4 linked regions of the Pelodiscus sinensis genome follow. The protein of the gene in region 3 purifies or fractionates together with the protein of the main gene of each other region. This does not show direct contact. Links are inferred from orthologs where the notes say so. Each region holds a gene or a part of one and is shown on either strand. Other genes may lie near its edges. The genes, in order: TNKS1BP1, EYA3, FHL2 and CNOT1.

What was found.
Region 1: the proteins of FHL2 (region 3) and TNKS1BP1 purify together in Homo sapiens (affinity purification with mass spectrometry; 3 studies listed by BioGRID and IntAct, with this or other methods). This does not show direct contact. The link is inferred for Pelodiscus sinensis from reciprocal best matches to the Homo sapiens genes FHL2 and TNKS1BP1.
Region 2: the proteins of FHL2 (region 3) and EYA3 purify together in Homo sapiens (affinity purification with mass spectrometry; 3 studies listed by BioGRID and IntAct, with this or other methods). This does not show direct contact. The link is inferred for Pelodiscus sinensis from reciprocal best matches to the Homo sapiens genes FHL2 and EYA3.
Region 4: the proteins of FHL2 (region 3) and CNOT1 purify together in Homo sapiens (affinity purification with mass spectrometry; 3 studies listed by BioGRID and IntAct, with this or other methods). This does not show direct contact. The link is inferred for Pelodiscus sinensis from reciprocal best matches to the Homo sapiens genes FHL2 and CNOT1.

The regions. Positions count from the first base shown.
Region 1 is NC_134714.1:128,191,926-128,199,331, forward strand, and holds the start of TNKS1BP1 (182 kDa tankyrase-1-binding protein), read right to left. Parts: upstream 3,004-7,406; 5' UTR 2,847-3,003; intron 1-2,846. Other genes in the region: FACT complex subunit SSRP1, read right to left, coding at 7,181-7,249, 7,334-7,406.
Region 2 is NC_134735.1:23,086,733-23,094,562, reverse strand, and holds the start of EYA3 (protein phosphatase EYA3), read left to right. Parts: upstream 1-4,816; 5' UTR 4,817-4,964; intron 4,965-7,830. UniProt on the Homo sapiens protein: Tyrosine phosphatase that specifically dephosphorylates 'Tyr-142' of histone H2AX (H2AXY142ph). 'Tyr-142' phosphorylation of histone H2AX plays a central role in DNA repair and acts as a mark that distinguishes between apoptotic and repair responses to genotoxic stress.
Region 3 is NC_134711.1:233,436,317-233,444,237, forward strand, and holds the start of FHL2 (four and a half LIM domains protein 2), read right to left. Parts: upstream 3,001-7,921; 5' UTR 2,932-3,000; coding exon 2,893-2,931; intron 2,409-2,892; coding exon 2,232-2,408; intron 1-2,231. UniProt on the Homo sapiens protein: May function as a molecular transmitter linking various signaling pathways to transcriptional regulation. Negatively regulates the transcriptional repressor E4F1 and may function in cell growth.
Region 4 is NC_134722.1:46,505,946-46,513,186, forward strand, and holds the start of CNOT1 (CCR4-NOT transcription complex subunit 1), read right to left. Parts: upstream 3,010-7,241; 5' UTR 2,851-3,009; intron 1-2,850.

The sequences.
Region 1 (7,406 bases), on a different chromosome or scaffold from region 3:
TTTCACAGAGTCATAGGACTTAGAAGGGTCTACAGCGGTGTTCCCTATATAAGCCATGTGCTTGTGTGGCCACTCAAGACAGAGTCCCAACCGATTAGCCAAGTGCCCACAGCTAGGCGTTGTGTTTCTATTGGTGGTGCACATTCACACATGCCTCTGTGCACAGAAAATTATTCTGCACATGAATGGAAAAGATTAGAGGGAACATTGGTCTAGGGTGATCCTCTGTAAGAGGGGCCATAGGACGAGGCTGAGAATAGGACCAACCACATAGATCGTGTCTACAGCCGATCACGGTCCCAAAGGAGAAGTCCAAGAATAGGGAGCCATGGTTGGGGTTCTGCGTAGGTGCCAGAAGGTGAATGGCAGCTTCTGGCCATGCTGGGACATGGAGAAGGGAACAATCATCAAGGCAAGAGGCGATCTTGGGGGAGGAGCCTCAGTAGAGGTGGAGCTCACAGACAACATAACAAGCAAAGGAGACTGAGGCCCTGTCCACACTACAGGCGTCACAGCGAAGATGCCGTAGCTTTGTTGCTGTAGCATACACACGGGCTACAGCGACTGATGGGGAGGTTCCATATTTGTGGCCACAGCACCGTGGCCGAGGGAAGCATTTGCCTGCCCACCTAGCCATGACTACACTGGGACTATTCACACCGACGAGTGCAGAAAGTGTGCCGGAGTAAGGCTAGGTCTGCACGACACACTGACTTCAGAACAGCTACGTCAGTTAGGGGTGTGAACCCCCCACTGAGCGGGACATAATTACACCAACCTAGCCCTCCGGGTAGAGTGCACGGAAGGAGAGCTGCTCGGATCCACATCGCTCCCAACCTCCCTCCCGTTGGCCTAGAGCATCTGCACTGCAGCACAGCACAGAGGTTTTAAGTGGAGTCCAGGCTGGGAGATGGAGGGCAGCTCAGGCACGAGGAGCCCTAAGTTGCAAGCAGCAAGCAAGCTGAAGCAGAGGAGGGAATACCCAAGAGTTGCCAGGCCTCTGAGGCAGGACTTCCACCTCATGTTCAAGCCAAGAGCTGTCTTAGGACAGACAGAGGGAGGGAGCAGGGAGGAGTCTAAAGGGACATGCAGCTAGTCATGGTCACAGCTAAAGGTGGCACGTAGGAGACCAAGGGCTTATCTATACCACAGAATTCAGTCAACTTCAATTAGGTTGACCTACAACCTCCACAGCGATTGAATCAGCTGTTGGTGTCTATGCTACCTTCCTTACTGGTGGTGCGCATCTCCCCTAGGAGCTCTTGCAGGGCACCTTGTGAACTAATACCAGCCGTGAAACTGACAAGAATGTTAGTTTCACTGCTGGTTGAACCCCTACTGAGAAAATGAGCCACCAGCTCAGAGCTAGGGCCTTTTCCCCCCCACCCTCTTCCCTGCAGGTGTTCCTATCCCCCTCCCTGCTGCCAGCACCTCCCCCCACAGCTGTTACACTCTGCAAAATTTGTGATTTCTTCCTGCTCCTCCCCATGCCTCCAAACCCCCAAGCCTCCTTCCCCACCACCTGCAGCCTGGTCAGCATCCACCCTGCAGAGCTCCATCACCCCTACACCCCCTGTTCTTACCCTTCACCCTGCCCGTGGGACCCCCAAACACTTTTTTTAAAAAATTTGGGTAGGGGAGGAGGCTCCAGCTGTCAGCTCCAGGCAATAGAAGTAATGCAGCATACTAACTACATCGACCTAAGCGCTAGGCCTCTTGTAAAGGTGGAGATATTAGGTCGGTGTAGCGGAGGCTTTGTCAGTGGGAACCCTGACACTGACAGAATGTGATCAACTCTGTGGAGCAGACCAGGCCCAAGCCTGGGGAAGGCAAAGGGACAAGTGCAAGAGGGCCCCATTCGGCTCAAGGGAACAGTGCAGCGTAATGGACAGGGCAAGGCCCTTGCTTGCAGGGACTCTGGCACCTGCAAATCTAGGGACCAGCCCAGCTAAGCGCTCACTCACCTGGAGCTAGAATCCAGGAGAGTGAAAGGCAAAGTTGAGCCTTCGCCTTCCTCCTCCAGCAGGAAGGAGAATCTGATTAGCTACGTAGCCAGGGGATAACCAAGCCAGGGTGAGGAAAGGGGAGAGAGGGGGAGCAGGAGAGGAGAAGGGATGGAGGTGCAGGGGGTGGGTGGTCAGGAAAGAGGGCACAGGGGTCGATAGGGCATCAAGCGGAGGGCCAGGTGGCTGAGGGTGGCACAGTGACAAGACTGGCCGCTCCCAGGGACACAGCCTCACACAGCTCTTCGGAGGCGATTCTAGGAGCTGGTCCAGGGCCCGGCTTTGGCAAGGGCCCAAGGGAAGGGTCAGCGAGGGGAGGGATCAGTGTGAATCCTCCAGGGCAGGCAGAGGCCCTGGCCACAGCCCGGAGCAGCCCCTGGGTGCGGCTGGAGACAAGAGAATCTAGTATGGGGCACCCCCAAGACACCGCACTGCGACCCCCCCCCTCCGTGACACACTGCGGCCAGCAGGGGGACCCCATAGGCTGCCCCTCGCCCACCCTTTTCCCTCCCTGCTGCCAGCGCCTCCCCCCCCCCCCCGCAGCTCCCCCGCCCCACAGCTGTTATCACAAACTTTGCTGAGCGTTCCTTTCTGCGACTCCCCACGTCTCCAAACCCCCAAGCCCCCTTCTCCCCCCATCTGCAGCCCGGCCAGCATCCGCCCCGCAGAGCCGCATCGCCCCTGCACCCCAACCCCCCCGTTCCTCCCCGTCACCCCGCCCACGGGACCCCCAAACAGCCCGCACACGCCTCCGCAGCCCCGGGCACGCTCAGCACCCACCCCCCAAGGCAGAAGCCCCGCGCCCCGCACACGCCCCCTCCCCGGGTCCCGGCGGCTCCTCACCGGGCTCCGCGCCGCGCGGCACCGCCCCGACCCCCCCCCCCCCGCGCATATTCATGAGAAGCAAAACAAGGGCGGGGCGGTCCTCCGCCCTCTGCTGCATATTCATGAGTTATGCAAATCACCCGCGCTGGACACCGCCCGTTCCCACGTGTCACCCTGCTGAAGCCATCGACCCATGGGGCAGGATGTGCCGTGGAGGGAGGGGTTAGAGAGGCCCCGCTCCTGCCCCCCACCCCCCAGCTGTGACTGGAATACCCGCCCCTCGATCATTACAGCCTGCCCTTTTCATTCCTCCTCCCCCTCCCGCCCGAACCGGCCTCTGCTTGCCAGGACCCCGAGGTGGGGAGGGCGCGCCTGGCCCCAGGCTCACATGTGGGGCGTGTCTGTGTTCAACCGAGCTGGTAACATGCCAGGCACTTCCATGCCTGCCTGCCTGCCCCCCCCCCCCCCCCGTGCCCAGGCTGGGAGGGGTAACTCCAGAGTCAGTAGCCCCCCTGGGAATTAAAATCACTGCAGCCCTCATTGGGCAGCTCCAGCGACATCTTCATTATTCACCCAGCCTTGTCCCCTGTGCCCCTAAAACTCTCCAGTGCAGCCTGGCTGTAAGAGGGGCATGCTTTTAATGCTGGACTGGCAGGTCCAGAGGCAGGAATCTCCAAACCCCTTGCAGGCAGCCCACTTTGTAAGTCTGTTCCCTAATTAACCTCTCCTGCAATCACCAGGGCCATAGCTGGGACAGAGGATGTCTGTCCATATCTGCTAAACCCCTTTTCTGTTTCACCCATATTCAGGCATGTCCAGAGACTCAGGCACTAGTAGGCTATTGGTCACACACATTCCTACTTTCCTCTCACTCAGTGTGAGTAAATAGATAAAGATTTAAACTATTGGTTCTCGGGACCTCACACAGAGGCCTTAGAACTGGGAAAGCCATTTTCCAAGCCTGCGTACTTAACTAGGGAGATTACAGGCTTTGCCGGCAGCAAGGGTAAAGAGGGGAGTGGAGGTGTGTACACACACACGCACACAGCTTGTCCAAACAACAAGCAGGACCTGACTGAAAGGTTGCAGGTTCTGCAAAACAACAGTTTAAAACGTAAACCCTATTCGACCAATTCATGTCCTGGGGGGATCTCCAACCATCTAAGGTTTTGTTGCAACCAGCAAATTATTTTTATTCAAATCTGCTGGTTTTCAGTTACACTGCATAGAGAATCCCTATAGGCCAGAGATAAAAAGTCTCTCTGGGGGCACCTGTAGGTTAGTCTGTAATTTTAAAAACCTCAGAGAGGAACAAAAACATATTTGTAGTACTATGAGCTTTCATCTCATCTGAAGGGGGTTGTGCTCACAAAAGCTCATGATACTAGCTATATATTTGTTTGCCTCTTAGGTGCCACAGGACTACTTGGCTATGTCTAGACTGGCGGGTTCTTGCACAAGAACATCTTGCACAGGAGCTCCTGCACAAGAACACGTCCACGTGTTTTTGCGCAAGAGCATCCATGGCAGTGTGGATGCTGTCTTGCGCAAGAAAGCTCTGATGGCCATTTTAGGGCTTTCTTGCGCAAGAAACCCCTGCCGCACATCCACACTGCCCTTTTGCACAAGAGCTCTTGCACAAGAGGGCTTACACTTATTCGAAAAAGCGTAGCTCTTGTGCAAGAAGCCCTCTCTTCCCACGCTTCACTGTAAAACTTCTTGCGCAAGAGCAGGCGGGCCAGGTGGACGCACTGCAGGTTCTTGCGCAAGAACCCGCCAGTGTAGACATAGCCCAGCTGTTTAAAAGTTTTCACAGGCCATAGACTTTAGTATGAATCAGGGCATTTAAGTGTTTCATACTCAGTAGTATGCAGTGTTGATTTTAAAGCCAACTCTTTTCCATACATAATAAACTTAAACAACAAATAGCACGGCAGCACTTTAAAGACTAACAAAACATGTAGATGGCATCACGAGCTTTTGTGGGTACAGCCCACTTCTTCAGATGAAGACAGGTTGGATTGAAGTCCTGGACTGTTAGGCTATGTCTACACTGGTGGGTTCTTGCACAAGAACGGAGGTTCTTGCGCACTGACCACACGGCCCCCTAACTCTTGCACAAGCTTTACAGTTAAGCATAGGAAGAGAGGGCTGCTTGTGCAACAGCTACGCTCTTTTCTAACAAGTGTAAGCGCTCTTGCACAAGCGTTCTTGCACAAGAGAGCAGTGTGGACGTGCAGCAGGAGTTTCTTGCACAAGAAAGCCCTATGGCTAAAATGGCCGTCAGAGCTTTCCGATGCAAGAGTGTCCGCACTGCCATGGATACTCTTGCGCAAAAGCACATGGCTGTGTGGACGTGTTCTTGCACAAGAGGTTCTTCCACAAGAACCTGCCAGTGTAGACATAGCTGTGGAGTCCCCAAGGACCAAAGCTGAGCATCCCTGCCTTGAGGAAGAACCTAACACAGCACCTGGGAAGTCTCACTGTAAATTTCATCCCAAAGGGCAGCCAACTCTAGTCATCTCTGCATGTTGCCCTGCCAGGCAGCCACACCTCCTGAAAGCTCCCAGTTGCACGTGGGCAGCTGCTTACATGGCCCAGCTCCCAGGGCAAAGCAGTGTAGGCCCAGCTGCGGTGGAATCGCAGGACAAATGCAGGAAGGGCAGAGGCTGTCGGGTCTACCCTACGCTCCAGCCGGATGTGACAGTAGAGGATTAAAGGCACAGCCGCTGTGGCCCGAGGACTGGCCCAGTCTCTGGCGGCTTAATGCTTTGGTCTGATTTTGGGCATTGGATGTAGGGGCTGTCACATCCCGGTGGTCAGAGGTCCCTTCTGGTTTTCGATTCCACGCCCTTGCTGGGCCCGGCCCTAGTGCCGCACACGGTGCGCGAAGAGAGGCACTGCCGTGGCTGCCTGCAGTCTGCCTTCCCATTTACTCCTGGCAGCTGAGCACTTCTGGTAAATAACCCACAGAAAGTAGGCCAAAGGAAATGGGACCCCGGAGGATTTCCCGCGAGGGCCAGCTTCCATCTGCACAATTAACCTGCTCCAGCCTTGGTTATGAAAGCCACGGCCCCTGGGGCGCATTCCTCCCCCTCCCAAGGCCAACAGGGCTCTCTGCCCTCTCGGCGCTGCGGGCTGATTCAATTAGAGCGAGGCAGAGTGCACGGGCTGACGCACAGGTGACTGGAAGTGGGGGGCAGAGACACTTTAATGGAGCACTGAGGTCCGGTAATAGGCTCTGATCACATCAGGCCTCCTGCCCCCAGCTTGGCTTAGTTCTCCTGGCAGCAAGGGCCGCAATGGAGACGAATGAGCCGCCGCTCGCGCTCCCTTCCCCCACCCTCAGGGCAGTGCGAGCTGGGCAGAGCTCTAGGCCCAGAAGGGACAGCGATGAGGCTCTGAGCCCCCCACGCTGCCCCCAGGGCAGGAGGTAAGGTGCAGGAGCGGGCTGGGGGGTTTGGCCAGGAGGCAGAGGGGAAGTGCTCCGCTCCAGGACCCAGCATCCACTGGGAGGTATGGGGCAGGCTCCCCCACATAAAGCCATCTTAGGAACAACCCTCCCTGCCGGCTAAGCCTGTTAATGGCCCAGGCCACAGACAGGGGAGAAGAGGGAGCCCCTAACACTTGACTAAACCTCATTGCTATCGACCGCCTCCCTCCTTAGGCAGCTCCCACAGGTGTCCGATGGCCTTTAATGCCGTTAAGGCCACAGCTTACTGGAATGAAGTGAGATAAGGCACTGGCCCAAATTCAGCCCCACCCCACCGCAGGAGCGCTCCTGTGGATGGCAGCCAGCAATGCGGCCGTGGGGAGGAGACGACCACCCCGTGGGGCTTCGCCTGCTCCCTCTGCACTGGGAGACCCGGCCATCTGTCCCCCAGCCACACTCAAGACAGAAGCTCCACCCAAAGTCGCTTGGTTTTTATTCCACCCAATTGCCACGTGAACAGACGAGAAATACAAAAATAAACAGAACATAAAAAATGCTGAGGGAGCCCGGCTACAGGCCAGGGGACAGACCCCGCCCAGCCGGCTCCCCGCAGCACGCTGGGAGGGCCCCCTGCTAGGGCCTAGTGGGGCTCCGGCAGCTTGGAGGTGCACCCCCTTCCCCTGCTTTCTAGCACCCCGTCGTTCTCCAGAGTTCAGCACAAGCCCCGCGAGGGAGAAGGGGGCAAGCAAGGGCCAGAAGCAGGGCTGGGTCCAGTCAATGGGGCAGCTGTGTCGTCCTTCCAGCCCCGCCCCTGGCAGAAGGGATAGGGGGAGGGGAGTCTAGTTCTCACCTCAGCGACCTATGACCTGTGCCATCCGGAACAGGGCAGGGCTAAAGGGAGGGAGGGGGCAGGGCAGCTCTAATCCGAGCCAGATGCAGAGTCCTCCAAGCTGGGGGGCGTGCTGGCGATTTCCTCCTCCTCAGAGTCCTGTGGGGGGGGAGGGGAAGCAGGTTAACACAGGACCCCCCACAGTCGTCGGGCTGGGCCCATCCTGCCCTGCCCGGCACCTACCTCCTTCTTGTTGTCGCCAGAGCTCTCGTCACTGGAGACGAACTCCTTGCTCTTGAAGCTCTCACCCAGCGGC
Region 2 (7,830 bases), on a different chromosome or scaffold from region 3:
CTGCGGCTTTGCTCTCCGTCTCCCTGGTCTGTAGACCAGGGGACGGGGAGTAAAGCCGCGGAACACGCAGGCAGCGGACAGCCCAGACGCGTCTTTGCTTCCTCTCCCTGGTCTGCTGGAGACTAGGGAGATGGGCCCCATTCGTAACTGCGGATCTGTTGGATCCGCATAACTCGGGGACTGCCTGTATTTCGGAATAACTATTCCAGAATAGCTTGTTCCAAAATAAGTGTGCAGTGTAGACGTAGTCTTACAAGCCACAGAATCTCTCCCAGTCACTCCTGGAATAGATCTATAGCCTCTGGCTGAGTTCTCAAACAGTGATTTAAAGACAGAAAGTCCACCATTTATTCTAATTTAAACCAGCAAATGACTCCTGCCCATGCTGCAACAGAAGATGAAAACTCCACCCCCCAGAGGAATATTTCTTTAACAATGAACAGATGTTGAGCAACTGGAATAGTATTTAACCTTCATTTATTTCCTCTGGTGCAGTGGAAACTACAACTAAGATCTACCAACTCACAAAACCAGGTTACCCTGTCTCACAGTGGTCACGGGCAGCTATCTTTTTATTTTTTTTAAACCACCAAAGTGTAGACTGGTCTCCAAACTTTTTACACCCAAGATGGCTTTTTAAGCCAAGATCTACCCCATCCTTTCCTGGAGACTCTGCCCCACCATTCCCCTTCTCTCCATCACTGCCTGTCCCCAGCCCTTACTCACGCTCACTGAGTTGAAACAGGAGGTGCGGGCTCTGGGGTGGGAATGAGGGATTTGGGTGTGGGAAGGGGTGAGAGGTGCAAGCTCTGGGAGGGAATTTGGGAGCAGGAGGTGGGGGAGAAGATGATGTTGACTTAGGGAGGGGGCTCCAGGCTGGAGAGTGTTGGGGTCAAATGAAGGGTTGGAGTGCTGAGGGTGCAGGAGTTTGGGTTGGGCTGTATGAGGGGCTCAGGGCAGGGGCATTGGGAGTATGATGGCTCAGGTCACAGATTTGTGGCGTGCGGATGGTGCAGGACTTGTGGCAGAAGACTGGGGATGTATAGTAATTTGGGATTGTGGGGGGCTCAGGGCAGGAGATTCAGGTGTATGATAGGCTCAGGGTAAAAAACATAGGAACAGCAAGACTGGGTCAGCACAACAGTCCATCCAGCCCAGCGTCCTGTCTGCCGACAGTGGCCAATACCAGATGCCCCAGAGGGAGGGAACACAACAGGGAATCCTCATGTGATCCCTCCCCTGTCACCCATCCCTAAACAGAGGCTAGGGACACCATTCAGCCCATCCTGACTAATAGCCATTGATGGACCTAACCTCCATGAATCTATCTAGCTCTTTGCTGAATCCCGTTACAGTCCTCACCTTTACCACATCCCCTGGCAAAGAATTACACACGTTGACTGTACAGTGAGTGAAGAAACACTTCCTTTTGTTTGCTTTAAACCTGCTGCCTATTAATTTCATTTCGTGACCTCTAGTTCTTACATTGTGGGAATAAGTAAATAACTTTTCCTTATTCACTTTTTCCACACCACTCATGATTTTAGAGACCTCTATCATATCCCCCCTTAGTCTTCTCTTTTCTAAGGTGAAAAGTCCAAATCTTTCAAATCTCTCTTCATATGGGACCTGTTTCAAACACCTAATAATTTTTATTGCCTTTTTTTGAATCTTTTCCAATGCCAATATCTCTTTTGTGAGATGAGGTGATCACATCTGTACGCAGTATTCAATATGTGGGCGTAGCATGGTTTCATATAGAGCCATAAGATATTTTGGTTGGTGTGTGTGTGTGGGGGGGTGCAGAAGTGTTATGATTCTGTGGCCAGATTGTGGGGGAGGGGTTGGCCCCAATTAGGGGCTTGTTGGCCAGGCTTCATTTTTAAATAAAATATTATGTCCAACAAAAAAGGTTTCATCATTGTCATTATTTGTGGGAGGGGCAGGGAACCTGTTTTAGGTCAGGGGCTGCCAACCTACAGAAAAATCGGTTGAGGACCACACAAGTGAGATGCAAAAAAACAACCCCTCCAAACCTCACTGATGTGACCCCAACTGAGACTCCTCACTCTCCTGGCATTCCAACCCCCTGGGGAAAGAGAGGGTAGGTAGGACTGAGGTTCAAGACCTCAGGCCAGATTAACTCTTCTGGGTGTTCCAGGGTTGGTCGGATTTTGTAAGCTCCCCTAGGTTCTGGGGTGGAGCTAAACATGAGGGATCCAGTGAGCAGGACAGGACTGCCAGTGAGCAGGATAGAGATGGGGGTGCAGAATCTGGATTATCTCACTCCCCAGTCTTAACCAGGATTTGCATATGGCAGCACTTTTGTTTGGAGTAGACCCTGATTCCCTTCCTGTGGAAAAGTACCAGGTGACATGATCACATGACTCTGTGATGTCAAAGGAGCATTCCCGCAAACTTCTCAGGAAGGAGTGTGATTACTACCTTTAAAGACCTATTGTCCTTCTTAATGTCCCATCTAGACTAACTGCATACTGTCTGAAGACGTGAGTTGTGCCCATGAAAGCTCATGATACCATCTACATCTTCAAAGACATTTTAACACCAGACTTGAAAAAGAATCCTCTGAACTGACATTCATGCTTAAATTTGACACTTTATGCCAAGGTCTCAACAAAGATGCTAATTATCTTACCCATTACAAAGATAGCTTCCCCAATTATCACCTCTAATATCATTAGCTCACAGACATTTACCTCCCCCCTCCCCCGCATCCTCCCTCTGTTCTGAAATTTGATTTGTCCTTTTCATATCCCTTTGGTATATCTGGTCATGCCAATTTTCTTCCACAGTTTGATCTGAGGAAGTGGGTCTGGCCCACGAAAGCTCATCACCTATTAAACCATCTTGTTAGCCTTTAAAACGCTACATAGTCCTGCTTTTTGTTTCATCTACATCTTTTGTTAGTCTCAAAGGCCCTGCAAGACTATTTGTTAAGTTTCTGCATACTGCCTGGTGGACCTTACTCAAAAATAAACCACAGTTGTGATTGTTGCATAGTCAATAATTCTAACTTCAGATACAGAAACAATGTATGCATACAAATGGGATAATAGTTAGTAAACCATAACCTTTCCTTGACCCATCTTGCATAAAACATAGCTGAGTTATGCCACATTCAGATCACAAATATAGCTCTATGAAGAATATGAAGCCTAGGGTCACAGGCAGTAGAGGACAAATGGTTATAGAGAAAATGACTGTTTAATTATCGTAGAAAGAATCAGTATTGTGAAGAGGGTTTTAATGTGTTTTACATTGTGATTTCTGGTAGGTGAAGTCGACATTGAAACACAACCTTGCCTCCCAAGAGAATTGACAATTGTAGTCCATGATCTTAAATACTCTCAGAGACCACTGTGATACCTATTTATACCGATACCTAATTATACTGGGTGTGTCTAGACTAGAGTTTTGTCGACAAAAGTATACCTGCGTCTACACTACCGCTGAGTTCTGTCAACATAACGTCGACAGAACTCAGCAGTTTTTTTGATGATGGTAAACCTCATTTTACGAGGCATAACACCTTCTGTTGACAGAAGGTGTTATTGCATGTAGGGTTGTGTCTAGACTACAGGGTTTTGTCGACAAAGCAAGCTGCTTTGTCGACAGAACTGAATGTAGTCTAGACGCTCTTTGTCGACAGAAGTTTTGTCGACAATATCTGTCAACAAAACTTGTCGACAAAATCCTGTAGTCTAGACGTACCCACTGAGTGGCCATGTATTCCACACAGTGTCATACCTGACATCAAACTAATGTGGAGAAGTAGAAGAATTTTACACCAACTCCGCCTGAACCAATTCAATGGCACCACCTACAATTAACATGACCTCACATAGATTTATAAGAAAAAAGAATGATCTGACTGAACACCTCACAAGGTATGAAAACCTAATCTTAGGAATTACACTGCCTGTCTCAAAAATAATTAACTGTGAAATCCTTGACATCACATCGTTCTACTCTCTTCACTGCTGAAGGGACAGGAATACAGTCCCTGAAATCCAAACACCAAATAGCAATCAGACCAGTAGATAAAAGGTGTGCCATTGTATTCCTCAATGCTGATGACTATGTTAATGAAACCAACTGATAATTCTGACACCACCCATTACAAAGATAGCTTCCCCAATTGTCACCTCTAATATCATTAGCTCACAGACATTTACCTCCCCCCCATCCCCCTTCTGTTCTGCAATGTGATTTGTCCTTTTCATGTGTGTTCATTTTTTTGATTGTACCCCTTGGTATCTATGGTGGTGGCTGTTTTCTTCCACTGTTTGGTCTGAGGCAGTGGGTCTGGCCCACGGACGCTCATCACCTAATAAACCATCTTGTGAGTCTCTAGAGTGCTGCATCGTCCTGCATTTTGCCCCAGCTGCGTCTCACTCGCCTACACTGGAGGACTCAGGGTGCCCCCGTCGCGATGCAGCGAATCAGGATGTTGCCCAACGCCCCTAACAGCGTCCCGAGGGAATGGCCGCCCACCCGCAGGGCCCCGCGGAGCTCGCAGGCGGGGGGGGGCTGCAGGGAGTCACTGCTCAGAGCCCCTCGCCTCAGTCACCAGCGTCCCCGGACACCGGCCCGCCGAGCCCGGGACCCAGAGCGGCCGGGCCCGCTGCAAACGGGCAGCTCGGGTCTTTTCGGCTCCACGAGTTTTGCTGCTATTGGGGGGGAGGGGCCGTCACTGCCCCTCCCCCAGCCCCCGCGGAGCGAGGCTCGAGGCTGGCGGACAGACCCAGCCCTGCACTAACCCCACCCGGCCGAAAGGAGGCGCCGCCCCGCCCCGCCCCGCCCCGCCCGCGTCACTTCCGGCGTCACCGGGTTCTGCTTCCGGGTCCTGCTGCCCTGGCTGGGCTCCGAGTTGAGCGTTCCTGGTGCTGACCCGCCGCCATGTCCCCCGCGGGGCGCGCTGCCGGGCCCGGGGCCGCCGCACGGTAAGAGGCGGCTGCCCGCGCACGTGGCCCCGCCCCTGCCGGCAGGAGTGGTGCTGCCCGGGCCGGGGGCGGGGGAGCCCCCCTCCGCGTGAGGGGCTCGGCTCGTTCCTGCCCCGCTCGCAGCCCGCGGGCGCGTCGGGGGCCGCACGTGGCTCCGCGCTGGGGCAGGCGGGCTCGCCCCTCCTCTCGCGGGGCTCCGGCCTTTCCTGAGGTCGGTCCGTCGCGCCCTGCTGGTGCCTGGCCGTGCGCTGCCACAGGCCTCGGGGCTTCTCCCGCTTGGTCTGGGAGAACTCACTGGCGGCTTCCTGGCTTCAGCTCTGTGAAATCATCACTGGCCTGTCAGTCTACACGTGGCTGTTTCCATTTTGTGGCCGTCACTGTGGCTGTGTCTACACAGGCACGATCTTGCACAAAGTCTTGCGGCCGGTCTACACTGTCCGTGAGTTCTTGTGAAAGTGAATGGACGTTCTAATGTGTGAAATCAGGGCTTCTTGCACCAGAACTCTGACGCTCCCACTCAGGAATAAGCCCTCTTGCACAACTGTTCTTGCACAAGAGGGCAGTGTAGACAGGCAACGTGAATTTCTTGCACAAGACAGCCCGATGGTTAAAATGGCCATCAGAGCTTTCTTACGCAAGAGAGCGTCTACACTGGCATGGATGCTCTTGCGCAAAAGCACATGCCAGTGTAGACGCGCTCTCGTGGAAGAGTTTTTGCACAAGAACTCTTCCAAATAAGAAAGAGTTCTTGCACAAGAAGCTGCTCGTGTAGACATAGCCTGTAGCAAATCCTAGATACTGGCTGACTAATTCTGAGCCCTGATACATTTACTACAGGTTGAATCTCTCTAATCCAGCACACTCTGGTCCTGCAGCATCCGTGGTCTGGCATGATTTTAGTTAGCCACACATACCAGGGCTATGAACAGGTAACCAATTAATCAGTTACCTGTAAGTCTAACTTCAGAAGCGGGCAAATTAGTTGAAACAATAGTAAAGAATAAAATTGTGAAGCATGTAGAAGAACATAATTTGTTGGTTATTTATTAGTTCCCATAATAGAAGAACTAGAGGACACCAAATGAAATTAATGGGTAGCAGGTTTAAAACTAATAAAAGGAAGTTCTTCTTCACACAGCGTGTTGTCAGCCTGTGGAACTCCTTGCCAGAGGAGGCGGTGAAGGCTAGGACTATAATAGAGTTTAAAGAGAAGCTGGATAAATTCATGGAGGTTAGGTCCATAAAAGGCTATTAACCAGGGGATAAAATGGTGTCCCTGGCCTCTGTTTGTCAGAGGCTGGAGAGGGATGGCAGGAGACAAATCGCTTGATCATTGTCTTCGGTCCACCCTCTCTGGGGCACCTGGTGCTGGCCACTGTCGGTAGACAGGATACTGGGCTAGGTGGACCTTTGGTCTGACCCAGTACGGCCGTTCTTATGTAGCATTACCCCATCTAGGTGAAGCTTACAGGGTACTAATTCACCAGTACACAGAAGTGGCCCATCACAAGTAGGGATGTTAAATATTGGTTAATTGAATAATTGAGTAACCTCATGAATTCTTAATGGTTAGTCGATTAGTCTACAGTCCTTGGGGGCAGGGCCAGCAGCCAGTGTGCTCCAGCCTCACTCCCAAGAAGACCCCTGCCAGGTGGGTACTGATCTGTGAGGAGAGCGAGTTTTTAAAAACTAGCTCCTTTGCGGACTGGATGCCTATTGCCTTGTGCTGCTGCCTCTAATAAAGGGGAAAGGGGCAGCTGAAGTGCCAGCATTTGATAGCCTCTTGGCCATGTCAAGATCACTTGTCAAAGGCTCCAAGATCTGCCAGTAGATCCTGATCTACTGGTTGGTGAGCACTGGCTTAAGGCAACTCTCTTCTCCTTACCTTTCTAATCCTATCAATAGCTTGACTTCAGGGTTTGTGACAGAGACTGCTAGTTTGTATTAAGTGCTACTCTGGTCAACACACATCTGAGACTAATGACAATTTTTCTGCACAGGGAACTAACTGTCTGCAGTCCTGATCCTGCCAGCTGGTCTATACAGACTCTTCTGTCCATGTGGCTCTAAAAGAGTATAAAACAATCTATCAGTAGAGATCAGCTTGCAGTATCACCACCCAGGATACTACATAATGTGATGATGTACTGTAATGATTAATGGGGGGGGGGGGTTGCAAAGATTATAGCAATATTTACTTTGGCCAGTAAGACATACACCTACCTCATGGGGTTTGCAACTAGATGTAAAGGCGTGAGGAAGCTAGGGAGGGCTAGATATACTAGATGTGGCCAAAGCATCAGGCAAAGTACCTTCTCCCACTTCCCCCTTCTTTAATAGCAGCATTTGTTGGTTTGCAGAGTGTACAGACAGGGAGATAGACACCAAGGCAATAGCTGTAGTCAAAGTGGCCTTATCTGGATATAAACTTGTTCTATCTTCTATCTTGGACACTGCCTCCAGTATAGAAAGTTAGAGCATGTTGAGAGCATGGATGGAATAAAATATCAAATCAAGAATTGGGGACACTGTCCTGACTGCAGTGCTGTGGCGGAGGGCTTATTCCATGGCTATAAATTATAGCATAAATTATATTTCTGGATTTCTGCATATAATTTATCCCCACCTCTAATATCATTAACTCACAGACATTTACCTTCCTTCCTCTCCCCCCCCCGCACATCCCCCTTCTGTTCTGAAATAAATTATATTTCTGGATGCAGAAATCCAGAAATATAATTTATGCTATCATGTGCCGAAAGTGTCCGTCTGCTATGTACATTGGACAAACGTCTCAGACACTTCGCCAAAGGATCAATGCCCACAAAACAGATATTAGACAGGATCACAAAGAAAAAACAGTTTC
Region 3 (7,921 bases):
AGGGGGTGGGGGGCAATTACTTGCCTTCATGCTCCGTGCCGCTCCCAGGCACTGCCTCCTGCTGCTCCCATTGGTCAGATTCTAGCCAATGGGAGCAGTGGTAAAACCCTCCAAGCAGCACGCCCACTCACTGCTGTTCCCCCACCGAGGTGAGGGGGAGCAGAAGTGCTTCTTCCCCATGAGCTGGATCATGCAGCGAAGCTCAGGGCTTTCTTCCCTCCTCCCCTTCCCCCCCCCCCATGGGAAGCTGACACTGGTGCTCCAATCTAGTGTGGGGTTGGGGGAGGGAGGGCGAGGCTGGAGTACCAGCGCAGTATCCCTGCTATGGGGGGAAGGAGGGTGGCTGAGCTTGAGCTCTGGACCCACTGTCCCAACAGAGCCCCTCATTCTTCCTTCACACCTTTGGCACACTCCCCCCACGCACATAGAGGCCTGATGTGATGGGAGTCTGTATCCCACACATGTGGTGAAAGCATTAGCGTGTGTCTGAGAGGTCAGTTAACTCCTCTGGCTGTACCTGGAGGGCAGGTAAGGCATAATAAAAGATAAAATTGGGAAGAAGCAATGGAGTGCTGGAAGTCTGGAACTGCAGAGAGAGAGAGATAAGACAGAGCTTTGCTATCACTATAGCGTAGAGAGACTTGTGGAAGCAGGAAGTCCAGGCCGGGAAGATGATGTGAAGGCACAGTACTAGGGTAAGACCCCAGCACAAGGGCAGGAACTGAAGGGCCTGGGAAATGGCAGAGGGAAAGGGCCTGGGAAATGGCAGAGGGAAAGGCCTGAGGAAAGGCTAATAGTAGAATGGAATTGCAGGAGGCTGTGATGAGATGTCTGGCAAAGCAGACCTTAGTTGTTGATTCTAGGATCCCTGGACTGGAAGCCAGGCAGAGGCTGATCTTGGGTTCTCCTACTGGCCTTGGAAAAGTGATGTAAAGCTCCCCTGACAGAAGAGAATAGGGATGATTCACAATCCCGATTTGAAAGATGTAAGGAGCATCAGGCCCAGGGTCAGGGCCCAGAGACTTGGCCTTGGAATTATTTATTGAACTTTTGGTACCTCAGAAGGGGCTAGGACTAAAATGAGACCTGGCTGGAGTGCTGAGTCACCAGACAAGGCAGACTGCCACAGCATCATAGTGACTGTTGCAAGAGGGGACTGGGGAGGAAACAGCTGCTACATCACACTCAGTTGCAAAGAGATCTGTCAATCGTGAGTCCACCCTGCTACAGGGGAATTCCTGGGTAGCCAGTTAAGTTAGTTCTATGGACATTTTCTGCTGCAAGAGTGTATGGGACATGCATGTTGTCTCTTTCATAGCTTCTGCCTAGTGTTACTTGAGTAATATTTTTACTGTTAAATGAACAGTTAAAATATCAATATGTATCATTCAGAAAGAAACTCATTAACATTTTTTAGCCTATCAAATACAAGGCTGATATTTTAAGTTTCTTCTAGATGGTAAAAAGTACTCTCCAGTTTTCAGCTGAAGCACTTCACTTGCATTCAAATCATCCGAACACTAGCTGTGTAAAACAGGTAATTATTAGTATGCCTCTTTTAACCCCAGGAGAGACTGAGGCAGAGAGGTTAACTCCCAAGTTCTCAAAAGCGACCCTATAATTTTTGGTATTTCACTCTTTGGGTGCCCAACATTAGAACCATAGAAAGCTTGTGTTCATTAGTGTTGAGCATCTAAACCACTAAGTCAATAGGAACTGTGATTACACAGCACCTTGGAAAAATGAGGCAAACCATGATCAAGTGAGGCACTCAAAATTAATGAATATTCTTGGGAATCTGGATCAAAGCACTTCCTGGAAAATGTTGAGCATCTTCAGTTCCCATGGTTCTCCAAGGAGGTGCTTAGCACAGTGGAAGGTCAGGTTCTTAATTACCTAATTAATAAATTGGAATAAATTGCCAAGGGAGGTGGTGGAATCTCCCTCTCTGGAGATATTTAAGAACAGGTTAGATAGACATCTGTCAGGGATGGTGTAGACGGAGCTTGATCCTGCCTTGAGGGCGGGGGGCTGGACTCGATGACCTCTCGAGGTCCCTTCCAGTCCTATTATTCTATGATTCTATGATTCTATGATAAGATGTTATGAAACAGATCTCTTCCACCCAGATCCCTTTTCTCCTGTAGTGTTGTAGTGATCCCGTGTGGGGAATGGACCTATCCTATCTGTTTTGACAGATGTGATGTCAATGAAATGCAAGTCCAAAGTACCTTGCAATCACAGCCAATTGGTTTTTTGCATTCCTCACAGGTGTTGGAGTAAAGACTTTCATAACACTTCACGCAGTAGGGACTCTCTTCTCGCAGGATGTACTTCTTGCCAAACAAGGACTCCTTGCAGTAGTGACAGTCAAAGCGTTCAGTCATTTTGGTGTCTAGACTCTTGATCTGTCATGAAGAAGAAAACAAGCAGGTTCAGATTTATGACTTACTAGAAGATTTACCTGGCATTGCTCTGGTCCTTAACTCAAGTAAGTTTTGTTTTTCTTAATTTTAATCATTGTTCTGGGGTGGGGCTGAGGATAAGAGGTTCAGTATTCAGGCTGCCCTGGGGAGAGAGGACAACCCCAGCCCTTTCTCAAAGTAGTAGCTTGAGGCCAGGTGAAAAGTGTCTGATCATGGCTGCTGCAGTTGCAGTTGGCACAGCTTGGGGAGTGGTGCATGTCCTCCAGCTGGGGGACAAACACACAGACAGACACATAAACAGACAAACTCTCTGAAATATATAGTAGTTGGCTATCCCTTTCTCCACTCCTACCCCTTGCTGGCCCAGTGGGGTTATAGCTACCCCAGTCCCCATTTCTGGCTCCTTGCTGCCCCCCTGTGGTCATTCTACAGTATAACTGTCCCTTCTATCAGACTTCTCACTTACCATTTTATGAGAAATAATCAAATTCCAGACGCGTCCCATTGTTCTTGAACAAATGAACTCACAAATGGACGGACAGACCGACAGACGCACATTTCTAAAATATAGTAAGGTTACCTTTAACTCCATTGAAAGAAACAAGATGATATATATCCCGTTTAGTGTTATTGCATTGTACCACACATTTACTTAATTTAATGGCAAGTAATTTCAACACTTTTTATTATTTAATTAAATCCTCATGTGAAGGGAAATTAGGAACACAGCAATAACTATGCTGCATCAGAGCAGCTGGTCTTTGTACTCCTGCACTCTGTCTTTGACAGAGTCTAGTATCAGATGCCTCACAGGAAGGTGCAAGCATCCTCATAATGGACAGTAATTAAATAATTTGCCCATGGGAAATTTTCTTCCTAATGCCGGCAAAGTTTGATTCAGCAGAATGGTCTTGCTTGGTGAACAACCTGGTTAAGTGAGCCATTTCATCCACTGACAGAGTTGAGCATTTCTTGCGCTGAAGAGTTTTCAAGCCATTTTTTGGATTATCTCATTCAGATTTGAAACTAGCTTTTACGTGTGGGGTGCAGCCAGCACAACTGTCTATAGTTCTGGGAATGCTGAGCAGGCTGCAACCTGGGGATTCAGTTATTCTCCAGTAGCTGTACAGTAATTATAGCAGTAATCATAAGATAGAGAGGTAAGGAATTGACAGCACAGGTGCAAGACTTGTAGGCCTAGATCGATAAGGATAACTTAAGCAGTTAGCGTGAGTCCTTTCAGCCTGCCTAAGGATAATTGATCAATAGTAAGCTATTATAAGTTAGAAAACTAACAATGATCTTAAGTCACAAGATGGCATAAGACTCTGTGTATAGTCTTCTAACAATCACAAATGTTGCAAGAAGTTTGTACCTATCATCTTTAGAACATTTTTGGAGGACATATTAGCAGATGCCTAACCACAGATAACCATAGTAATTCAACTGACATATGTTAGTGACCTTGGCTAATTAATATATTAAGCTATAAGAGAAGGACACTCCAATACTATGAGAGCAAAGAAGTTAAGGTACACTAAGAGAGGGAAGAGTTGTGTTGTCACTGGAGGGCCAAGGAGACTCCCAAAGCAAATCAAAGCCCTGCACCATGTGACCTCCTCTCTCCCCCGGTGCTCCAGACACCTTGCCATGTGTCCTCCTCCCTACCCTGGTATTCTGGGGACCAGGGTGGCAGGAACCACACCACATGGCCTCCTCCCTCCCCCAGTGTTCCAGGGGCTGGGGAGGCTTGGGCGTGTGCACATGCCCCCTTCTCCCTCTTTCCTTTCCTGGGGGAGGGGGTGCTTTCAGCATGCTGCTCCACAGCAGAGGGGGTGGGGTTGTAGGAGGGGCTGCAGGCTTGCCTCCCTCAGCCCCAGCAGCACCAACCCCCCATGCTTGCAACTACACCTTAAAACCATTCAAAATTACTGCCGAATGTAACTGCCTGCCTATGAAGTAGTTTCTCATGTGGACTGCATTACACCTGTGCACCATATTCTGTGCTGTTTTCCAGTTGGTTTCCCAAATGAAGATTTAAATGGCTTGGGTCCTAATAACAAAAGTGTCCATCTTTCTTATCTGTAGCAGTATTCAACTGAGGTTCTCAAGCCCACAGTCCCTTGCTTTAAAGAGAAGGAAGATAATTGCAAAATCTCCCAATGTTTGGGACTCATAAGTTCAGAGCTAAAGTTTTGGTTCAGACAGGACTCACTCATGAAGTTGGGATCAAGACCAAAACTTCCCAAAAGTTCAGGAATGTTTAGATTTGGGGAGTTGAATGGATTCCATCTCTATTCTATAATACTCTGGACACACTCACAGTCTCTTCTCCCAGGAGAAAGAAACAAAAAGTAAGGTCACAAGGGTCAGACAATAGTGGGTCAGACCAATAGTCCACCTAGCTCAGTATCCTGTCTCTGACCATGGCTGGTCCCAGAGCTTTGGGGAGGATGTAGAGAACAGGGAAGTTGGAGTGACCCATTATTATATTCTGACCTTCAGGGTGTGTCTATGTAGAACCATTATTTCGGAATAACAGACATTATTCCAAAATAACATAGTGTGCATTTACACTGCAAGCCATTATTTTGAAATAATGGTGAGCTGGAGGACTTCTTACTCCGACTCCTGTAACCCTCATTTCATGAGAAATAAGAGAAGTCAGAGGAATAGTGTTCTTCTTTCAACTTCCTCTGTGTAGAAAGTGCCAAAATTTGAATTAAGCTATTTTAACTTCAGCTATGTAATTGATATAGATGAAATTGCATTGCTTAATTCAAGTTTTGCCCTGCTGTGTATATGTACCCTCAGAGATTTAGGGCCATCCCAAGTTCGGGTTTGCATTCCTGACCATCTTGACCAATAGCAATTGTCTTGAGTAACTTATCCTCCAGGACATATTAGATTCTCTTTTTGAACCCATTTACACTTCTGGCCGATCACAGCATCCTGTGAGAAGGATTTAATTGTGCATTGAGTGAAAAAGTACATTCTCTTGTTTGTATTAAACCTGCTGCCTATTAATTTAATCAGATGACCCAAGTTTTGTACTGTAGGAATAACACTTTTCTAACTTTTCCCATATTGATAATGCTTATGCCATAAGCATGATCACATATCATCATAACAAGGACTATCCAATGAGATGTGAGAATGGAAAAATACATCATTTTGTTTTAGATTTATGAAAGATTCACACAACTCAACAGGTACCTGTCCTGTTCACTGGCATTAAGCTGGGACGGGGCCTAGAGAATGCGTGAATGATATTGATACTTACAGCTTGTCTACACTTAAAACACTGCAGTGGGAAGGGATTTTCCCCAAGAGACATTAGCTAGACCAAGGATTAGGACCGTTTAACTTCATCACTCAGCAGCACAGATTTTTTCACACCCTCGACCAATGTGGTTATTTGGAACTAATTTCCTTGTGCAGGTATTAGTAAACTAATCAGAGGCTATGTTTATGTAAGGGGACTGTTACCCCTTACTAAAACTCTGTGGGAGTTTTTTGGTTTGCCAGCTCCCACTTTCAGAGGGGGAAGGGTTCAGGAGGCTGACAGACCCCAGAGACAATGGAAAGCAGCCAACACTCCAGCTCAGCCTGATTGACAGGTTGGATAGGCCAGTGAGGAAGGGGAGAGGCCAGGCCCCGTCCTCCCTGTGAGCTGGGATTGTTCTGGCTCTCTCTCTGAACAAATAAGCTGTGTGCAGAAGAGGTCCTACAAAGACAGAGAGCTGAAATAGGAGTACAAGCTGTGTGAAGAAGTCCTGCAAAAACAGGGAGCTGAGAGACAGCCCAAGCAAAGCAAGCTGTGTGCAGAAGAAGTCCTGCAAAAGGAACAGAGAGCTGAGAGACAGCCCAAGCAGTGCAAGCTGTGTGCTGAGGGGCAGTTTTTGCAGCAGCTGAGCCAGACACACACAGCTCAAAGAGCGCAGACCCTGTGTTGAGCAGCAGACTGGCAGTGCTCAGAGAGCCAAAAGGAACAGAGAAGCAATGCAAGAAGCTAGAGACTGGCCACACAGCACAGCCTGCAGCTGGATGTGGTGAGCAGCTGGGAACTGCAAAGTGTGGGGAGAGGCTCTGGACTGGGAGAGGGGTCTGGCCACTTAGAGCTTGAGGCTGTGTGGTCACTGCCAGAGCAAGCGTGTCCAGCCTGCAGCCCCTCCCCCCCCGCAGCACATCCAAGGCCTCTAAGGAAGAGACTGTGGACTGTCCTTACACTCTGCAGGCTGCTGTTTTGATGTCCCTGTGCTACAGAGCAGGGCTGTGTGTTCTCATTTAACCATTCTCATTTTTTTCTTATTCTTTTCTCTTTAACCAGTTGTTGTTTAATAAATTGTATTTGCTTTGAACCTTATGAAGTGATCACTGGGCCAAGAAGGCCTGCAGTGTAAAGAGAGCACCTCGGAGTGGGGACACCCTAACTCCTGCCCCTAGTGACTACAAGGTCAGGGATTAAGCCCCAGGAAACCTGGGCCCAGCCTTGTTGGGGTTTCAAGGGCTCTGCTACTCAGGAGAGTGGAGGGGGAGCCCTCAGGATCAGGGAGCCATGGGGTAAAGGAAGTGGGAGCGGGGACTCAGATCCTTTTGCTGGTTCATTTCACCGGGGTGTATAGAAGCCAGGAAAGTTCCCCACAATAGCGGGATCATTCCCCCGCTTACATTTAGACTGCAGAGTTAAATCGGAAAAAGATATGCAATTTGTGTACTGAAAATTGTGTATTTTTTCCTGATTTTCTTTCAAAAGAGGCTTTTCCAAAATTTGGCAAATCTATATGGCACCAAATTTCGGAAGGACCTGATCTTTCAACACATTCCTTATGCCTCATAGAATGAGGTTTACAGGGATGGCGAAAGAGAGCATCCGCTTTTTTGAAAAAAAAAATTCAGAAAAGCGGATGCATTCCGTGGACACAGTATTGTTTTTCTGGGATACCTCTGGTATCCCGGAAAAGTGCTGCACTCTAGACGTAACCAGATTGCTTTATTCTTCATCTAATACTCCTTTTTCCTGTCTGGTAACATGGATAGCGTATAAGCTCTTTGGGCCAGGAACTGTCTTTTTTGTGTGCATTCAGTGCCTAACACAATGAAGCCTCCATGTGTTACCATAATACAAATTAAAAATAATACTGATGTTATTTGCAACAGTTAATATTGGTCTCATCAAAAACATTCATAATAAATAAGCCCATCCCACCATAAAAACTCATTTCTGCAATTTTCCAAATCATAAATAAAGCTCCAAAGGAATAAAAACGTTCTCAGGCAACCTGTTCTTCATAGGCCAGAGAAAAAAGATGTATACTTCAGTGTGAAACTTCAAGTAGCTAAAAAATTGTTACAAGGAGGAAAGAGAAAAATTATTCTCCAGAACCCGTGAGGATAGGACAAGAAGCAATGGGCTTAAATTGCAGAAAGGGAGGTTTAGATTGGCTATTAGGAAAAGCTTTCCAACTGTCAAGGTGGTTAAACACTGAAATAAA
Region 4 (7,241 bases), on a different chromosome or scaffold from region 3:
CCTCCAATGTGGAGGTTAGAGATTTATCTGAGCCCAAAAAATGTGAGGCCACTTCAGGAATATAAATTCCGTAAGATACTACATAAGAAACATGGAGGAGCAAAATTACTAAACTAGTTTGGAATATGGTCATATTGCCCAATCCTCCCTGTTAGTGCTACAAAAGACTGTTAAGGAAGAAACTGAAAATATGCTTCAAAGCTAAGTTAACTACAAAACACTTACTGCTTAAGCATTTAAGGCAAGAAAAAATGCACTGCATAAGCCACATGCATGACAATTTAGTCACATTACTGGGAAACTAATATCTGGATTGGAATGAGTAAATACAATTTTAAAGTAAACACTGACTAGAAGAATGATCAAGAACAATGCTCTCTCCAGAAAGAAAGATGGAGTTGTCTGGCAACAGGATGTGGGTCAGGCTGAGAGAGCCATATTTATAGGGAGACGGAGTGTAGGACAATACCAACTCAAGATGCAGGAGTGGGACCAGAAAGTACATTGCTGCACAGCCATAGAAGGCTGCCACCTATTTACAAAAACAAAAGAAAAAACTACATAGCACTTTAAAGACTAACAAGATGGTTTAATAGGTGATGAGTTTTCATGGTCTGGCCCATGAAAGCACATCGCCTATTAAACCATCCTGTTAGTCTTTAAAGTGCTACATAGTTTTTCCCTTTTGTTTTAGAAGTATCAGACTAAAGCGGCTACCTCTCTATTCCTATTTACAAGGCATCTCATCTGGGCTAGTTTTTGCCTTCATCTTATTCAATCCAAAATATTGCTACCCTGGCAACAAGCAGCATCCTGAAGTTACTTTTATGACAATTCATTCTTCGTATATAGAATTCCCTCCATATATACAGAAATCCTTGCATTTCACTATCTGCTTAACAATCTGACAGCTGCTGCTATCTTTTCATGGTTTCCACCACAGAGTCCTTGAAGTAGAGCAGACAAAGCATGTGCACTATCCAAACAGATGACAAAACCGGAGGCTTTTAAACTTTTAAGTTGCATGTACTAAATCCATATTTGACTGTCATGGTATAGTGAACTTTTACATCCATTCATTATAGGTAAAGCCACTGTAAATCACATCTCGCTCCTTTCGCAATTGTGTGCTGAACAAAATCTTTTGTGATTTGTTAAAGTTAGCTGGCAGTCACCTTTTAGTTTCAAGAGTCAGGAAGACAAGGCTATTACACAAGAAAGGAACACCCATTTCAAGGAAGCTATTTTTAAAAACAACAGTGCGTTAAGTGTTCTAGTTCTGAGCTAGGCAAATGCTAGTTAGCTGCTTATTACTGTTAATGGAAATATTTGGAAAGATTTTTTCCTTTCAGCTCAATAGCTAAATATTTTAGTACTCTGAACTTAGCCACAATTAGAGACCATGCCTTCACAGTACTTTCTATAAGAACATGTACTCCATTTTTATGAATTTATTTTTCATCAACCCAGGCAATATAATAGCACTCTTATAAACGGTGGGGCTTTCTTCAAGACTGCCTTTTACTAGACTTTCCAAGAATCCATGTCAGGTTTGCCATTCAAGAGATCATCAAAGTTTTAGAGTTAAAGAGCAGCTCTACAAAGCAGATGCAAGGGGGGGAATGCTACAAATGCAAGTCTCTGTTTACAATGCCCAACAGTTTATTTAAATCCTTAACTTAGTTTGTCCCAGAAAAAGTTTTCTTGAAGCCAAAACTGCATTTTGTATATTGTGACATTTAAAATATTCAAGACTTATTCTACTTCACTGGGATTTTTAACCTGTTCTCTATTGTGGGCTGGATCTGTAGTTACACTGGACCACATCCAGGCAACATATATACTCTACCTGCATGGCCCTGAGAAGCCATATGGAGAACTGCAGCTGTGCACTGAATTGGCTGCAAGCAGCCCACAGGTTGAAAACCACTACACTAACCTATAAACAAGCACCATTTGTGTGTTTCAAGTATGTTTAAATGAGGATATAGTCTTTGATAAAACTGCTTTTTAATAGGGCACTTTTAAGAGGCAAGGGACCAAAAAAATAATCAATCGATATTTTGCATTTCCACCAAATAGCCAGCTAGTTTTATTCCCTCCTTTAGCAAACATGTATTCTACCAAGAAGAGAACAAATGTAGCTGCTGGTTAGAAGCGATCACTGAGGGACAAGTATTCAAAGGCATGCTCCAACCCACTCCAAACCACGGTTACTCATACGGATGCAAAAGTAGCTCCAGAGGAAGGGGTTGCCCAAGTCCAACCCTCTTCACCCGACAGGGAAGAGGCAGGTTGTCCTGGGCTCCCTGCTAGCAAGCGCTTTGAGCCTGGTGCCTCAGAGAAGCGCGCAGGAGAAAGGGGAAGTTTCTGCTCTTCCCCGCCTCCCCCCCGGGCAGGGACACGGGGAGCGGGAGCACAGCCCCCCCCCCCCCCCCCACGGGGCGGCAGGACCAGCCCGAACCGCCCAGCCCTGCGGCGGCGGCGGCGCGGCGCAAACAGGCCCCCGGACACGGCTGGGGCGCGGGGCTCCTGCTATCGGGAACTTCCGGCCCCCAAACCCACCCGCGCCCCCCCGCTCCTGCTGCCAACTCGAGACGGGGGCGGGGCTCGCCTCCTCCCGACGCGCGCGGGGTCCCCGCGACAGGCCCAGGCCGCCGACTGCCCCCGAGCCCGGGTCCACTCCCAGCCTAGGCCCGAGCGCCTCAGCACCGCCCCAGAGCCCCCACCGCGCAAGCGCCCCTCCTTCCGGTTGGTTCCTGCTCGCCTGGCCTCCGGGCCCCGCGGCCCCCAAGCCCAGGGCTGCGCCGGGCCTCCGCAGCCGCTCCCCGGGCCCGTCGGAGCGCTCACCTCAGGCAGCAGGGCGGGGGTCGCGGGGCCAGAGCGGGCGCCTCGGTCAGCTTCTCGCGCTTTTATCCCCTCTCAGCCTCTCGCCTCTGCTGGTTTCAATACAAAATGGCGGACGGGGTCGCGCGCTCACGTCGCGGCCTTTCCCCTCCCCAGTCCCCTCGCGGCACGCCACGCGCAGGGCGGGGCCGCGGCCGTCCTCCCCTGCGTACGCGATTCCACCCAATCACAGTTCAGGCAGGCGGCAAAGGCGCCTGCGCTGGGGGGGGGGTTCCACCCAATCAGCGACCGGCGTCCATTCGGGAAAGAAAGGGGAGCGTTGCGTTTCTGCGCCAAAGCAAAGGCCGGACGCTGATTGGTTAATGAAAAGGAAGCCTTCCTCCCTCCCGTCGGCAGATCAAAGGTCAGGGCTCCTGCGCCTAGGCGCTGTGGCCAATCAGCGTTCGGGGAAGGCATCTGCGCTCCCGGGTCTGGCCAATGGAAGAGGAGCGCGGCTGGGCGAGGAAGGGGAAGTAAAGGAGGCCGCAAAGGGCGAGCGGAGTCATTGGGGAAGAGGAGTGGCTGCCCAGCCCTAGCGTGAGGGGCAACATCTCCCGCCCGCCACCCCATGTTGCACGGCATGTGCCTTCTGTAGGCGGAGAGCCCAATGGTACAGTCCACCTGCGCTACAACAATGCGGGCAGGCTTCTCCACCCCACTGTACCTCCACAGTGGTTCAGTCCATCACCCCTCCCCCCCCCCGTACCTCTGTAGTGGTAGGAGTTGTTTGCATCTTTCCTGTTCTCTCACACACCCCCGTGAGGCTTATATAATGGTACAGGCCACTTTGCTCTAGTCTCTCCCCTCCCCTCCCCCAGTGTCACATGATCTTCCAGCCAGCCCCTCTTGGTCTGCACATGGCAAAGGCTTGGAGCGCCTGGCACCTGCTGAGCTAGGCAGCGCCCTGCCCCGCGCCAACGCAAAGCAGGAGTCACTCCTGAAGTCAAACCAGTGTGAGACCAGAATCCCTGCAGGCAGCAGCCCCGCCTGGCTTGGGCTGGCAGCTGGTGCATAGCAGAAACAGGCCTGGTCCCCCTCCAGCCACAGCATCTCTGGATCCAGAACCAGTGCACGGAGCAGCGCATGGGCGTGAGGGTGTGTGTCAGTGCCTGGAGCTAGGGAAATGCCAGCATGGAAAACAAAATATGGTGCCACTCTGGAGCAATGCGCTTCCATGGGCAAAACCCACTGCTTCAGCCGAGATGATCTCAAAATCATCTCATCTGAAAGAAGTGGGTTTTGCCCCCCGAAAGCTCATGATACAGATATATTGTCTTTAGTCTCTAAGGTGCTACAGGTCTACTCATTTTTAAAGTTACAGACTAACACAGCTACCCCCTGAAACTCTAGACTAGGAATGGTTTAAAAATATAAAAGGTTCTGGTTACGAAAAATTACCACTAATTACATACTAAGCAAAATAGGGGACATGTAAATATTTGTTGCTATTGACTCTCACAAAGTATATTCACATTTTTTTTAAAAATCTAGCCAATATTTTTACTAATATTTAAGAAATGTCCTTGCTAAATATGTATAATAAAAGCTTTAATTTTATGAAAACACCATTAGAAACAAGATGTGGACACTTGTTCTGTAATGGATAACACCCTGTTCAATAGCTATGACTATTACATTACTGTATATAGTTTATCTAAACAAAGCTCACTTTTGTGATGATTATTGGGGGTTTTTTTTGGCTAGTATTTACTCTGCCAGCATTTGTAAGCCTGTTAAAAATTGTCCTATATACAAATAGTGTAATCAAAATGCCAGCAAGGATAGCCATGAAATGGAACAACTTATAGGAGAAGCTTGATTATATTAATAACTATCTTATAACCAATTATATGAACCATTTTTCATAGGGGGGAAAAAATCATACAAAAGTAATGATGAACAAGTTCGTGTCCTGTCACTTGCTAATGTCTTCACAAAATGAAAGTAATAGCTTTGTTTTTGTCGGTGATGGTGGAGTCCTCTGGCTACCAATAACTAAAAGTATGTTTCAGAGCCCAGGTCAGTTTACTCAGGATCATGGAACTATCAAATTGCAATGCAGCCCTTCCAGTAAAATCCCTAGCCCCTAAGATCACAGGCTCAAGCCCACCTCCCAACAACCCACATCATCCATCACCTCTGCAAATAGGGGCTCCTCTGGGATTTCAAATGGGATGTCTCTGAAGCTTGGGACCCACTTCCTCTACTAGAAGACGTCTCTCCTGGGTGCAGTGCATTATCCTTTCCAGTGGCACCAAGACCCATACAGATAGGTAAGGCTGTAGAGCAGACTCATTGTTCTAACAGCTAGCTTTTAGCTCGTGCAGTAGAAGAGGGAGGGAGGGCAATAATTTTTAAAAGGGGGCCACTTCAGAAATTTCAGAAGTGACCCCAGGCCACCCTGGAAGGAGCAGAACCTTGGACAGAAGGGGTGGGGCCAGGAGACTTCTTGTGCTTTCCCCCAAAATGCTGATTGGCCTGGGGTGGGGGAAATCTTCCCCTTCCCTCCCCTGTCCCCTAGAAAGAAAGGTCAGCTGTTTTAAAACAGCTGGCAGTTCCCTCTAGGCACCCAGTGGGAGGAGACCTCACGCGCTCCCCAAGCCAATCAGGGCCAAGGGAGCAGACAAAGTCTCCTGGTCCCCACAAGAGCGTGCAGCGTCTAGAGATACATGCCAGCTGCTTTAAAACAGCTGGCATGTTTCTCTAGCCATTGTGTGCCCCTGGTAGGGTGGGGCCAAGACACGAAAGACTTCGCCTGTTCCCCACCCCCAGCATGGTGGGGGCAGCAGGGCGGCCGCAGGCCCACTTCACTGGCTTGGTGGGCCGAATCTGGCCTGTAGAGGGCCCTTTGTCCACTGCTGCAGTAGAGGCTCCTGTGCTGGGCTCCAGAGGTCCCAGGTTCAATTCCACCCACAGGTGACCAGTGTTACACCTGCATCCCCCTCTCCTTGGAAGGCACCCACCCCATCCAGCAAGTTGCTGCTGTTGCCGAATGCACTTTAAAAAGCTTCCAACCCCTCCTCCAGCACAGGGAAAGCAGAAGTAGCCATCTGTCTGTAGGGAGCTGTGCTCATCACACCACTACCCCAGGCCTGCCACTGTCAGCAGGAGGCAGCTGTGTGTTTGAGCATGACAAAGGGAGTTGGGAGCACAAGCCCTGTTGACTTTCAATAGGACTTATGTGTCTAAGTCACTCTTGAAAAACCCAGGCTGGCCACGTGCCTAATGCAGCTGGGACGTCAGCTCCTCAGAGGTATCCCCACCCAGCAGGCTGCTCAGAGAACATGCACAGGAAGGAGGGGTGGGGAAATGTGAATTCAAGGAGCATGGGTTGAGAGGGATGGAGAATTGCCTTGTGCTGGCGCTATGGGCTACAGGTAGGGGATCCGGATGAGAGAGAATCAGGTGCGTCTGCTTTTCAATACACTGGCTCACACCCTGAGCCCCAGGAACACCGGCCGGTACCAAGCGGGGCCTCTGAGCTGGACTTTCCATAAGCGGGCGGCCAGCCAGCCCTTCCCTGGGAATGCTTAGCATGACAGCCTGGGAGCACAGCACGTGCTCCCCCTCACCCCCCGCTAGCCCCAACCAGCTCAGCCGAGCACCACCCATGCCTGTTTGTTACAGCTTTGTACACAGGATTTGAGCAATCCCCCCCCGCAGCGCGAGGCCCCAAGGGAAGAAATGCATCACGCTTATTGCCTCCTGGGCCTAGGACACCGCAGTCCCGGCTGCTTTTACCAACATACCGGCCCTTTAGGAGAAACAGAGCAGCCTCCAGTCTTTAGCCTTTACACCAAGGGCAGAGTAAGTCAACCTGCCACCTTAGTATGGAGCTTCTACAAGCCAGCCCCCCGTCTTTCACTCCTGGCCCAGCACAAGAGCAGCCAGACTGGGCCAGACCAAAGGTCCATCTAGCCCAGGACCCTGTTTTCTGACAGTGGCCAAGGTCCGATACCCCAGAGGGAATGAACAGGAGAATCATCAAGCGATCCCACCCGTCACCCAGCCCCAGCTTCTGAAATACAGAGACCCAAGCCAGGATCCCTGCAGCTTAACAGGGAGGAGGCTCTGCAGCAGAGATGATCCAGCTCCTGTAGCAATTCCTGGTTTATTAGTCACAGAGTGGCAGGTGAGAGAAGTGCACCCGCCCCTCCCCACAAGTCCAAGAGAGCATCCGGCAGTGATGAGCAAACACCTTCGGTGTGGGGGTGGAGAACCTGCAGCCCAGATCCAGCTTGTGGGGCAAGTCTCCCTTAGAGAAGCTGCCTGTATGGAGGAGGAGTCAACTGAGGCTCAGCATTTAAGTCTTGCATTAAAAAACAAACCCAGATTTTTATTTCATTTATTGTTCT